2 linked regions of the Caenorhabditis elegans genome follow. The protein of the gene in region 1 interacts with the protein of each later gene in a pairwise test. Each region holds a gene or a part of one and is shown in the gene's direction. Other genes may lie near its edges. The genes, in order: F38B7.3 and vbh-1.

Region 1 (5,006 bases):
CAGGCCGTATTTTCTCGAAAAATATGACTTTTTTTCATTCTGAGACTCGTTTCGGAACTCCCTATCACATAATTAATGAGAACAAAACGTTCATTTTTGACGGAACAAGATATTATTTGGATCCAAAACTCAAAGAAACATTCCAAGATATTTGTGAATACAGTATTCATCCACTCCTTGATGCCACTGAACTTCAAACGGTGACTTTGATTTTATGATATCCACTAAAATGATGGAAATTTATTTCAGACGTACCTTCCAAATATGACACATGTCGATTCTATTTATTATGAATGCTCGTGTTTTGAACTATGTTACGGGCTGAGGTGCAGAATTAACCCGTTTTATTTGATAATAGTGTGAGTTGGAAACATTATGTAGGTTATATGAAAGCACATAGGTTATATGAAAGTAAAAAAGTCCGGCGATTTTCCCCGGGAGTTGGCAAAACTGTCGATTGCATAATTGGCAAAATTAACAGTATTTTTAGGTTTCATGGTGGATCAATTTTTGTTTGTTGAAAGTAAGATCAATCTGTAAATTGTAGAAAATTTCCAAAACCGAGAATTACTAATCACTTCCTTCTATATTAAACGTCTATTACACTAACAATAAAATACGAATGAGATTTGTTTTTGTCTTTAAAAACTTATTTTAAATTTATAGCTAACATAGGAGTAACACTCAACTACAAGACTGTGTTGCTATCTTGATCTATTGAAAACATGAATGATTTTTCTTCAAACCCCCGTTTTCTTAAAATATGTTATTTCAGTTGCCTCACCGTTGGTATCTTCTTTGTTTGGACTACTTCAATAGTCTATATTAAAATCAGAAAAAATCAGAAAATAAAACAAAGACCATCATCTTCATCAAACTCCGAATCAATCGCACTCCCTCCATCCTATAAAGTAGCTTGCTCACATTTGTCAGAAATACCACCATCATATGCATCTATTATGGCAGGGAACGTTATCCTTGCAGAACCTTTAAACTCTTCTATTATTTAACTGAAAATGTGCCTGATGAATAATTGAGTTTGATATGAATTTTATATGATAATAATAAAGCATAATCTGGTAGTCATGGAAATCGAAACGCTTCTTCGTGTTTCTCACGTTTCTCTTTAGTTCCTTTTGTGAAGTGCAAGAACACCTGAAAAATTCAATTCATTGCTATTCTCTTTTCTGTTCTGTATATGTATATGCAGTTTAGTTAGCACAATCAAAAAATCTCCTGAATTATTGCAAATTTGAGAATAGCCAGTTTAAAAAATAAATTTATTTTTGTATTCTCTGTTTTAAAATGTTCAGTAAAAAATTTTATTATATTTAAATGTGGTTCAGAAAATGGGGACTGCAACTCTCAGCAATCTCCTTGTTCGAATTTCCTCCAAAATCAGAACTGCAAGACCGAATTGGAACTTTTCCCACTTCATCTTATTGGTTCAAAAGTGGTCGCCGTGAGTTGATGATTGGTCGTGCAGTTCTCATTCCGGAGGAAGTTCAAAATTAGCGAGTTGAAAAATCACCGTTTGAAGAATTGATTTTTCAAATTTTGCACTTTTTTGTTGTTCATTTGTGGTATTTCAGTATATTGCATTATGCCGAGTTTATTTTAGAATAAAATTCCCCATTTCCTTAACTTTAAATTGTAACACTGATGAAAGATTTGGTACGGTAACTTTGTTTTTTTTTAAATTCAAGTAACACTTTTTGGAATTTTTTCTTTTATATTTTTTAACAATTGAAACTTTAAATTGGGCACGAAACTAACTGTCAGAAACAAACGATGACTCATTCCCATATTCTTGTTCATTACGAACCGAGATTTTCGCAATGTCAGCTAGTTCTATAAGGGACCACTAGTGTGACGTGTTCTGACAACTAGAGACCCAGAGAAGCAAAGATATCATATGTCACCTTTCCATTTCTAGAAATTTCGCATTTCACCCTAACCCATATGTATATCCTTGACATAGAGTGTCCTAGCAACACTTTCACACACTATTTATTTCTGCCTGTTGTCTCGTGGTTGTGTGCTCCCTTGTTTCTCTGCACACTCTATATCCTACACACTATCTAATTGCCATCTGCTACCCTATTTCTCGTGTCTCACAAACACCCTTACTCTGCCATCCAACCTCTGTCAGTTCTCTCAGTTTTTTAGATTATATGTTCTGCACCTCTGAGGCTGCTGTCGATATGGGTGAGTTATGGCTTTTATCTTAAAATTTCTGGAAAGTTATCGAGTGCTAAAGATACCGTATCTTTTTGGATAATGTACAACATAATATTTTTACGAATAGTAAGGCCTGTAGATAATAAATATTTGCGGAGTTTCTTTTGTTTTCAATCCAGCTAACAATTAAGGCTCAGACAGTATGCAAACAGTAATTTTCGCTTAAAGTTTGTTTTTGATAAATTTGATTTTTTCTGCGAAACACATTATCGACAATTATTGTTTTCGTTATGAACAATTATGAACTGTTATTTCACTACAAATTCCATAGTTTTGTATAATTCGTTAACTTTGACTGATGGTTATTTTTTGGGCCAGAAAAGAGTATTTTCAATTATTGCATAAAATTCAGCATTTGATAAACTTTATCTATAAGTCAAATGGCATAGCTGAAAATGACGAAAACTTTACAGTTATGTTTTCAGATAGTGGAAGAGGAGACATTCGTCGTCTGAAAGACGGAGAAATTCTGAAATACACATCAGGAATCTTCAGTTCAAAATGGAAGAAAATGTATGCGGTGTTGTTCAGCGATTCGCGTCTTGTTTGGTTTGAAAATAGAGTGAGTTTCATTGAAAATTGATAAGAACTGCAAATAAAATTATTGTTCAGGGTGATAGAAAACCAAAAGGAAGTGTTCTTCTGAAAGATGTGATACCATATATTTGTGTGGGACTAATGACTGACAGAATGCCTGTGAAAAGACCAAATGTACCAGAAGGAAATTCAGTTCATCATCTCGTTGGAATTGGAATGAATCCAAAAGCTGATCCATGTCATTGGATTTTGTTTTCCTCAGATTCAGATATTGAGTGAGTATTGAGTTATGGCTCTTTTTTGAAAACTGGCTTGTTTTCAAAAAATTGTAGCTCATTTTGGTGAAACTTGACAAAAAATGTTGAATATGATTTAATAAAACCAACAGTTTTTTCTTTTCAATTCCATGAATGTCTCCCTAGTTTTCATTCACCTGAAGACGTAGATAAATTCAATAGTTTTTCAGAAATTACTTGAAAACTTGAAAAGAACTCTGGTAAAAAAAAAGAAAAAAACAACAAAACATTTTCAGATCTTGGTTCACAGAAATCACAAAAACATTACCGAAGCCTGCTAATCCTCCACCAAATGCACCACAACAAGGGCCTGGAGCCCAACCACCACAGCAACAAAACAATGGAGGATATGGTTAGCCTTTTCATCGAATTTTAAATTTATTTTTATTTTATTTTTCAGTTCCCCCAACAGTATATCCAAGTGCTCCTCCTCCAGTTCAGCCAGGCTACAATCCTCGTCCTGCCAGCGGACAGTCTTATCCATCTGGACCACAAGTCCCACCAGCTTATGGACAATACCCTCAACCTGGTTATCCACAACCGGCTGGAGTTCCAACTTCTTCTCACACAACTGTAATCGTCAGAGATGGAGGTTACGGTGGTGGCGGATACGGTGGATATGGAGGAGGTGGTGGAGGATTCGGAAGCACTGGGCTTGGATTCGGCTCTGGCATCTTGGCTGGAAGTCTCCTTGGCTACGGATTGGGATCCATGTGGGGAGGACATCACAGCTACGGTGGATGGGGTGGCGGTTACGGTGGAGGTGGTTATGGAATGGCTGGTGGATATTACTCCGATAATGATACAACTGTTACCAACAACTATTACAATTATGGAGATAATGACAACAATGGAGGAAACAATCATAGTAGTAGCTCGAATGCTATTACAGATGCTCCTGGAGTAAGTTTTAAATTCTATTGAACTTTTTGAATTGTTAATTTTTAGAATGCCGGTGATCAATCTCAACAGCAGTCGGATAATAATTACGGAAATGCTAACCAAGACTCATATGATCAAGGAAATGATTATGGGAATGACTATGGAAATGCTGGTTATGACTCTGGAGACTTTGGTGGCGGAGACTACGGAGGTGGTGGATATGATTCGGGAGACTTCGGAGGTGGTGACTTTGGTGGTGGTGATTTCGGAGGTGGAGATTTCGGAGGAGGCGACTATTAAACTCGTGGATCAAGCTCTTCCTGTTTTTCATTCTATTTTCCCTCAGTTCTCTATTGCTTTGCTTTACAATGTTTATAACTCAACTATTTGTGCCATTCTCAGTTTTGCAATTGTTTAGAGAATTTATCTGTGATAATAAATGTTCATAATGACCCTCATCAGATAGCCTTTAAAATTTCTCAACTTTTTGAAATGCACTTCTTAAAATTAATTTCAATTCTACAATGTTGAAAATTTGGAGAGCTGAGCAAATTTGAATTTTGAAGTTTTCAACATTAAAAAATTGCAATGAAATATTCGTTTTTTTTTCACAAGTTACATACTTGCACCGGGTTAACTTTTCGGATACAATATACCTAGAGCAAATTTTTAAAATTTTTTAATTGAATACTGAAGCGTCTCACCAACTCACAAGTGTAAAGAGATCATATTTTACATAATTTATTATTTTTCAATAGTAATTTTCCACTGCAAAACTGAATTATGACATCACACAAACAGTGTTGTTTTCAAAAGTGAGAAAGTTGGATCACATTTGGAATTTTGGATTATTTCTCGAAGATAAAGTTTTTGAAAAAGTTCTGTGCCTACAAAACTCCTAACACATTTTTTCTACGTCTAACTGAAAGATCAAAAAACTTCTCCTTGAGAAAAAATATTTTTGTTCCTAAATTGAATATATTTGATTTTCAGATGATCATAATCCACGGTTCACTGAACTGTGCAAAATCACCTGGCCCATGTTTTTCT
Region 2 (6,359 bases), on another chromosome or scaffold:
GCAAAACCAAATGCATTAGATTACTGCAAGATCTAATCGAAGACGAAAGATTGTGAAGAGAGCATCCAGTGAGAGAAAGGAGATTCAATTGGGACATCTGAAAATAAATTTTGGGTTTTGATGGGAATTTAGTATTATAAAATTTACAAAAAAAAAATTTGTTTGAAATTCCGAGAAAAAAATCGTTTTTTTGCGGAAATTCACGGATTTTCCAAAAATTAAAATTCCCTTACACTCTCGAAAACCCGTTTCTGGGAAAGATTGGCCGCTTCGGTGACCGAATCGATTCGAACATTTTTGATGACAATTTCGAAGCGATTATTCTCGATCGCCTCTATTACCTCCGGTTGCTCTTCGAACATTATTCTGAATTTTAATTTTTTCGGTGAAAAAGTGGGAAAAAAATTAGATAAAGATATAAATAATTGAATCGAACCACAAAATTCGTTATAAATATTGAAAATGATTCAAAGTTTAATATATAAAGAAACAAAAATTCTAGGATTCTAGCGAAACAAAAACAAAAAAAATAATAAAAATTCATTGAGATTTCTTCGGAGTATCCAGCTTTTCCTGAAGATTCTTCTGGTGATTCCGAAGGGCGTCAGCTAGAAGAACATCAAGAATTGATTCAGATTGATCTACGCGGTCTGCTTGTATTTGTGGAAATGGATTTCCGTCGATTTCCAGAACTCCGATATCGTATCGCTTCCAGACTTCTCGCTTATTCTGGATAAATTGTTGAAGACGTTGTGGTGGAAGTCGGAATAGTGATGTGAATGGAGAATCGCGGTCTTGGAATCGTGGAACAATTACCTGGGAAAAAAATGATTTTTTTTTGGCGAAAAATCTTTTTAAATCAATTTACTTCATGCATTTTCGTAATTAAATCCTTCTCAGGCAGCCACCATTCCATCATTTCGGCTGTATACTCGTCAAGTGGTCCTCTTTCGACACCCAATTGAATTAGCTGAATTTTATTTTTTTAAATTTTAATTTTCTCACTCATTTTCAAACAAAAAACCCCTCACCCTCTCCAAATATGGCCTGGCCTCGACGGCGCGGTTCCATTTCAGCTCGGCGCGTTCCTCACGGACAGTTCGGGTGACGATGCGACGGAGCACTTCGAGACGAGCACGACGGCTTGGCTCAATTCCTCCGGTTTTCAGCTTTTGTGGTGCGTGACCAATTGTGACGCCGATTCTTGGCAGTGACACTGCCACTCGGTGAGCTGACATTGCCTGGAAATCTTTTTTTTATTAATTTTGAGTCGGAAATTCAAAAAATTGAATAAAATCCCATATATTTCAATAGAAATTCTAATAAAAATTAAATTTAATTCTATTTCGCGAAATTTCGGAGCGTTTTTTGCGTTGAAACACGCTTCCTCACACACGCACTTTAAAGGCGCACCGATTTACACGGTCGGCGGGTCTCGATGGGAAAACAAACGTCTCTTCATCATTGCGTGCTGAATTCACTTCTCTCATTTCCGCTTCTTCTCTACGGTTTTTCGTGTCGATTTTCTCCATTGTCATCGTTTTTCGCATAATTTTCGAGTTAAATTATGCGAAAAATGATAATTCGTCGTTTATTAATGATAAATACTCATTTTCTCCGTCTTAAAACTTCATTTGTTTCGCAACAAGCCAATAAAATGAATTTCAGATACATATTCTGTAATCTCGACGTCAATTGGGTACAAAATCGGTTTAGATTCGCCGATTTTTCTTTTTCGAATTCCGGGTTTCCGTTTGATATAGTCTTACAATGAACACACAATATTATGCGAATCACAACGGTCAACAACAGCCGCCACAACAACAACAGGGACAAGGGTATGATTTCGAAACGGATTTCAAGATTTCAACCTCATTTTTTCAGCTGGTCATCCTCGTATTCTCAACAGAGCAATAATATGCCTGCAGGAGGCGTATTTTACAACGGATTCGCCAACGGAACTCCGTCAAACAACGGGTATGCAATTCAACAACCTATGGTCCCAGGGATGGGGCAGATGATGGGTGCTCCTCATGCTGGATTTGTTCCTTCTCCTTACTTTCAAGGGCAGCCACAACAGCAGCAGCATTTCAAAATGGGCTACTCAGAAAACTTTGAAAACTTCGATGAGAATGGGTGAGAACAGGTGTATAGTGTGCTGGTGATTGTGTTTGCCTCTAACCATATGCTTGTTCTTCATTTCCTTTGTTGCTTTTTGTTAACCTGAAATGAGGCTTCTCTTTTATCAAATCTTGAAATTGCAGATCGTCTGGGTACAACAACTTCGCCGACAGCGGAAACGGTTTCAACAACAAGTATGTTTAAATCTGAATTACAATTTTTATTAGTAGACGTTACAGTGGAGCCGAGAGTAATCAATGGGGAGGAGCACCTGCCGAATATTCCGAAAGGTGAGATTAAAATGTTCTGATTATTAAACGCGATATGGTATTTCAGCAATTTGTTCCACCGTACCGACAGTGGCATCAACTTTGACAAGTACGAAAATATTCCCGTAGAAGTCAGCGGAGACTCCGTTCCAGCAGCCATCGAGCATTTCAATGAAGCTGGTTTTGGGCCGGCTGTGATGGAGAACGTGAATCGCAGCGGATACTCCAAGCCGACTCCTGTCCAGAAACACTCGATCCCAACTCTTTTGGCTAACCGCGATCTGATGTCTTGCGCTCAAACCGGATCTGGAAAAACTGCCGCTTTCCTGCTCCCAATTATTCAGCATATTTTGGCTGGTGGTCCAGATATGGTCAAGCCGGTAAGTAGGGCAAACCTGCGATCCATCAAAATTCGAAAAATTTATACAAAAAACTATTTTAATTGCAGCCAGCGTTCACAAACGGTCGTCGCACTTACTATCCATGTGCTCTGGTTCTCTCGCCGACTCGTGAACTTGCCATTCAAATCCACAAGGAAGCTACAAAGTTCAGCTACAAAAGCAACATCCAGACGGCTATTCTTTACGGAGGACGTGAAAACTATCGTGATCAAGTGAATCGTCTTCGCGCTGGAACGCATATCCTCATTGCTACCCCAGGTCGTTTGATTGACATTATTGAGCAAGGATTCATTGGACTCGCCGGATGTCGTTACCTGGTTCTCGACGAAGCTGATCGTATGCTTGACATGGGATTTGAGCCGCAAATCAGAAAGATCGTTGGCCAAGGAATGCCACCAAAGACTGCTCGTACCACAGCTATGTTCAGTGCAACCTTCCCGAAGGAGATTCAAGTTCTCGCTAAGGACTTCCTCAAGGATAACTATATCTTTTTGGCAGTTGGTCGTGTTGGATCAACGTCTGAAAATATTGAACAACGTCTGCTTTGGGTCAACGAGATGGAAAAGAGAAGCAATCTGATGGAAATTCTGATGAACGAGCATTCTGAAAATCTGGTTCTCGTATTCGTTGAGACAAAGAGAGGAGCCAACGAGTTGGCGTATTTCCTCAATCGTCAGCAGATCCGCTCTGTTTCAATTCACGGAGATCTCAAACAAATTGAACGTGAGAGAAATCTCGAGTTGTTCCGCTCTGGACAGTGCCCAATTCTTGTCGCAACTGCTGTTGCCGCTCGTGGATTGGATATTCCAAATGTGCGCCACGTCATCAATTATGATCTTCCTGGAGATTCTGACGAATATGTTCACCGTATCGGTAGAACCGGAAGATGCGGAAACCTTGGAATTGCCACCAGTTTCTTCAATGACAAGAATCGAGGAATCGGTCGTGATTTGAAGAATCTGATTGTCGAATCCAACCAAGAAGTCCCAGAATGGCTTCATCAAGTTGCTGCAGAAGGACGCATTGGAGGTGGACAACGTGGTGGAAACCGTCGCTTCGGAGCAACCGACTATCGTGTTGGTCGTGGTGGTGGTGGATCGTTCGGAGGGTAAGATCAAATGAGCAGTTGAAAATTAATATTGCTAATAGTTTCAGAAACTTCTCAAATTACAATTCCGGTGGAGCCACTGGTGGTTTCGGAAGTGGACCCGCCTACGGTGGTTCGTTCGGAGGAGGAGCACCACGTCGCCCGTTCACGAATGGAGGATTCGGAGCTCATAGCTCTCTGTCGTCTACCTCTAATAGTGGTGGCGGTGGCGGCTTCAGTGGCCCAAGAAGAGGTTTGTGGAGAAAATAAAGAAAATAATGCAAAATTAATCAATTCCTTGATTTCAGGTGGCTTCAACAGTGGAATGAACCGTCAGGGTGGTGGCGGTGGAGGTTTTTACTCAAACCCAGGCCAGGCTCCAATTGATCATTGGCAAGCTCCACAAGCTTAAACATTATTCGCAACAAACGGAAATCCGGAATTCCACATTAAAGTCTCGCACCATACTCCTTTTTTTATAATTTAGTTGTCTTCCTTTTTTCCTTTACTCGTTCCATCCATATTAAAATAATCATTTTTTCCTCCTTCTCTTTTTTATTCTGTCTCCTTCTTTAAAGCGTGGCTTATTCCTCTCTTTTATTTCATATTATTCTCTCTGTAATTGTGTTTTAATCATTCAATTTTTTTTATCTCAGAGCTTTAAGTGACGAATATTTTAATGGATTCTATGCGTGATCTAGGGTTTTAACATTGAATTTTATTGTATCCTCCCATTTCCCCCAAAAATGTTGTTGTTGCCTGGCAATTTGTACCATTGTTTTGTTTCTCTTGGTGTTGTTTTCTTGCATCAACAATACCCCGAGAGAATCAATGCAGTTTTATCTCGTAGTTTTGTAGTTTTTCTTATGGCCGCTGGATGGCATCCGATGCACTACCGCGTCGGGGACTCAGCACGGTTTTTCTCTATTATCGGTTGTTTGTAAGCTTTGTTGAAACCCGTTTACATAGTGCTGCCCGTTGTTGATTCGTGATATTGTGTGTATTTTTAATTAATTTTTACTTGTTCCCCAATCTGATCCCAACCATTCGTCTTGCAATTATTCAATTCTTAACTTGGTATAGCTGCGGGTGTCTAATTATATTTTCATAATTGTTCGCCAGTATGATCGTCAGTTTATCATTAAATAATTGCGAGTTAGGTATAAAAAGCTTGGTTGCTCTCTTATGATAATGATCTCCCCCCACCTATCCCCAAATCTCTATCATTTTTCCCTCCAACTGATGTTTTTTTTGAGCCAAGTAATATTCATTGTTAGTTGTTTTTTCTCCCTCTAAACAGTATACACGAAAATCATAGAACCAACCATTTCATAATACTCAAGTTGCACTATCATATGCGTCTCGTCAATAGCTAATTCCAAACATTTTCTAGGCCGGTCTAAGCCGTTGAACGTGCAGTCCGTTTCCACGCTTTCTCTTCAATTTCTATTTGCCAATTTCTCCCCAACCAACTGCATTCTTGTCCAATATGCACAATTTTTCTTTTTTATTTTCATCGTCCCTCTCCCATCATTTTTCTCTTTCCCTCGTCACGCACTTATCTCTGTCACTATGAGATTCTTATCTTCTTTTTCCATCTTGAATGTTCACTTTCAGCTCTTTGAGAATAATCTTAAAAGCCCTTGTGGCCTGACAAATAGTTGAATAAACTTGGTATCTGGTACTTGAAAACATTTATACGCGGGCATGCTGATGCTCTCGTTGCATATAAGAAATGACCGCAAGAAAATTATCTATCTTCACAACATGTCAAATGCTACGTGGTCGTTAATAGTCTAGTCCTAGGCCAAAAAATTAATGTATTAAATATTGCCTCATGTCAGTCAAATTTTCATTTCTATTTGAAAATTTGTAATTATGATTCCAGCAACTTGTAGGCTAAATTCCCGGGAGTTTATGTACCTTCGTTTCCGATGTCATTCAACTTCGAAAAAAAAAACAATCAGCAGTCTTCACCCTCTCCATTGTTGTCGAAATCCTGAATTAAAAACAATTATCATCAATGAAAATTGATAATTCTTGCCTTTCAAATAGAAAAATGCCGGTCTTCTCCTTAAAAATCTGCAAAAGAGGGGGGAAAAATGAGTAAATATGCTTTTGTGGGAGACTCATCATCAAATGAAACCAATATTGCTCGTTTTTTCAATTAAAATTATATATTTAATGATAAAATAATAAAATAAAGCATAGAAATGACACAAATAATATCTACGAAAAGCGAAGGAAAACTGCTCTCAAAATTCGGTATTATGGGAACACTAAATCATGAGAAATCCGTACTGCGCATTTCATTTGAAGCGCAGATATCTCTTAGCGAAAACTACAGTAATTCTTCAAATTACTACTGTAGCACTGTGTCGATTTACGTGCTCGGTTTTCGAAAATAATTTATTACGATACACGAAACTATAAAAATGACAAATATAATACGAAAAAGCGAAGGAAAATAGAAAATCGCTC

What was found.
Region 2: the proteins of F38B7.3 (region 1) and vbh-1 interact in a two-hybrid assay, tested with the Caenorhabditis elegans proteins (one large-scale study listed by BioGRID).

What each region holds. Positions count from the first base shown.
Region 1 is NC_003283.11:11,547,147-11,552,152, forward strand, and holds F38B7.3 (PH domain-containing protein), read left to right. Parts: upstream 1-1,960; 5' UTR 1,961-2,174; coding exon 2,175-2,208; intron 2,209-2,666; coding exon 2,667-2,803; intron 2,804-2,853; coding exon 2,854-3,053; intron 3,054-3,310; coding exon 3,311-3,426; intron 3,427-3,474; coding exon 3,475-3,977; intron 3,978-4,022; coding exon 4,023-4,256; 3' UTR 4,257-4,467; downstream 4,468-5,006. Other genes in the region: F38B7.11 (CX domain-containing protein), read left to right, coding at 4-200, 250-359, 776-1,010; F38B7.17 (PheST operon leader peptide PheM), read right to left, coding at 1,084-1,155, 1,777-1,818.
Region 2 is NC_003279.8:3,157,695-3,164,053, reverse strand, and holds vbh-1 (RNA helicase), read left to right. Parts: upstream 1-1,662; 5' UTR 1,663-1,770; coding exon of another isoform or gene 1,771-1,838; intron 1,839-1,884; coding exon of another isoform or gene 1,885-1,918; coding exon 1,919-2,136; intron 2,137-2,264; coding exon 2,265-2,315; intron 2,316-2,351; coding exon of another isoform or gene 2,352-2,360; coding exon 2,361-2,411; intron 2,412-2,457; coding exon 2,458-2,770; intron 2,771-2,838; coding exon 2,839-3,899; intron 3,900-3,946; coding exon 3,947-4,131; intron 4,132-4,186; coding exon 4,187-4,290; 3' UTR 4,291-5,562; downstream 5,563-6,359. Other genes in the region: Y54E10A.6 (B3/B4 tRNA-binding domain-containing protein), read right to left, coding at 1-97, 234-362; mrpl-17 (Large ribosomal subunit protein bL17m), read right to left, coding at 541-816, 869-970, 1,032-1,238.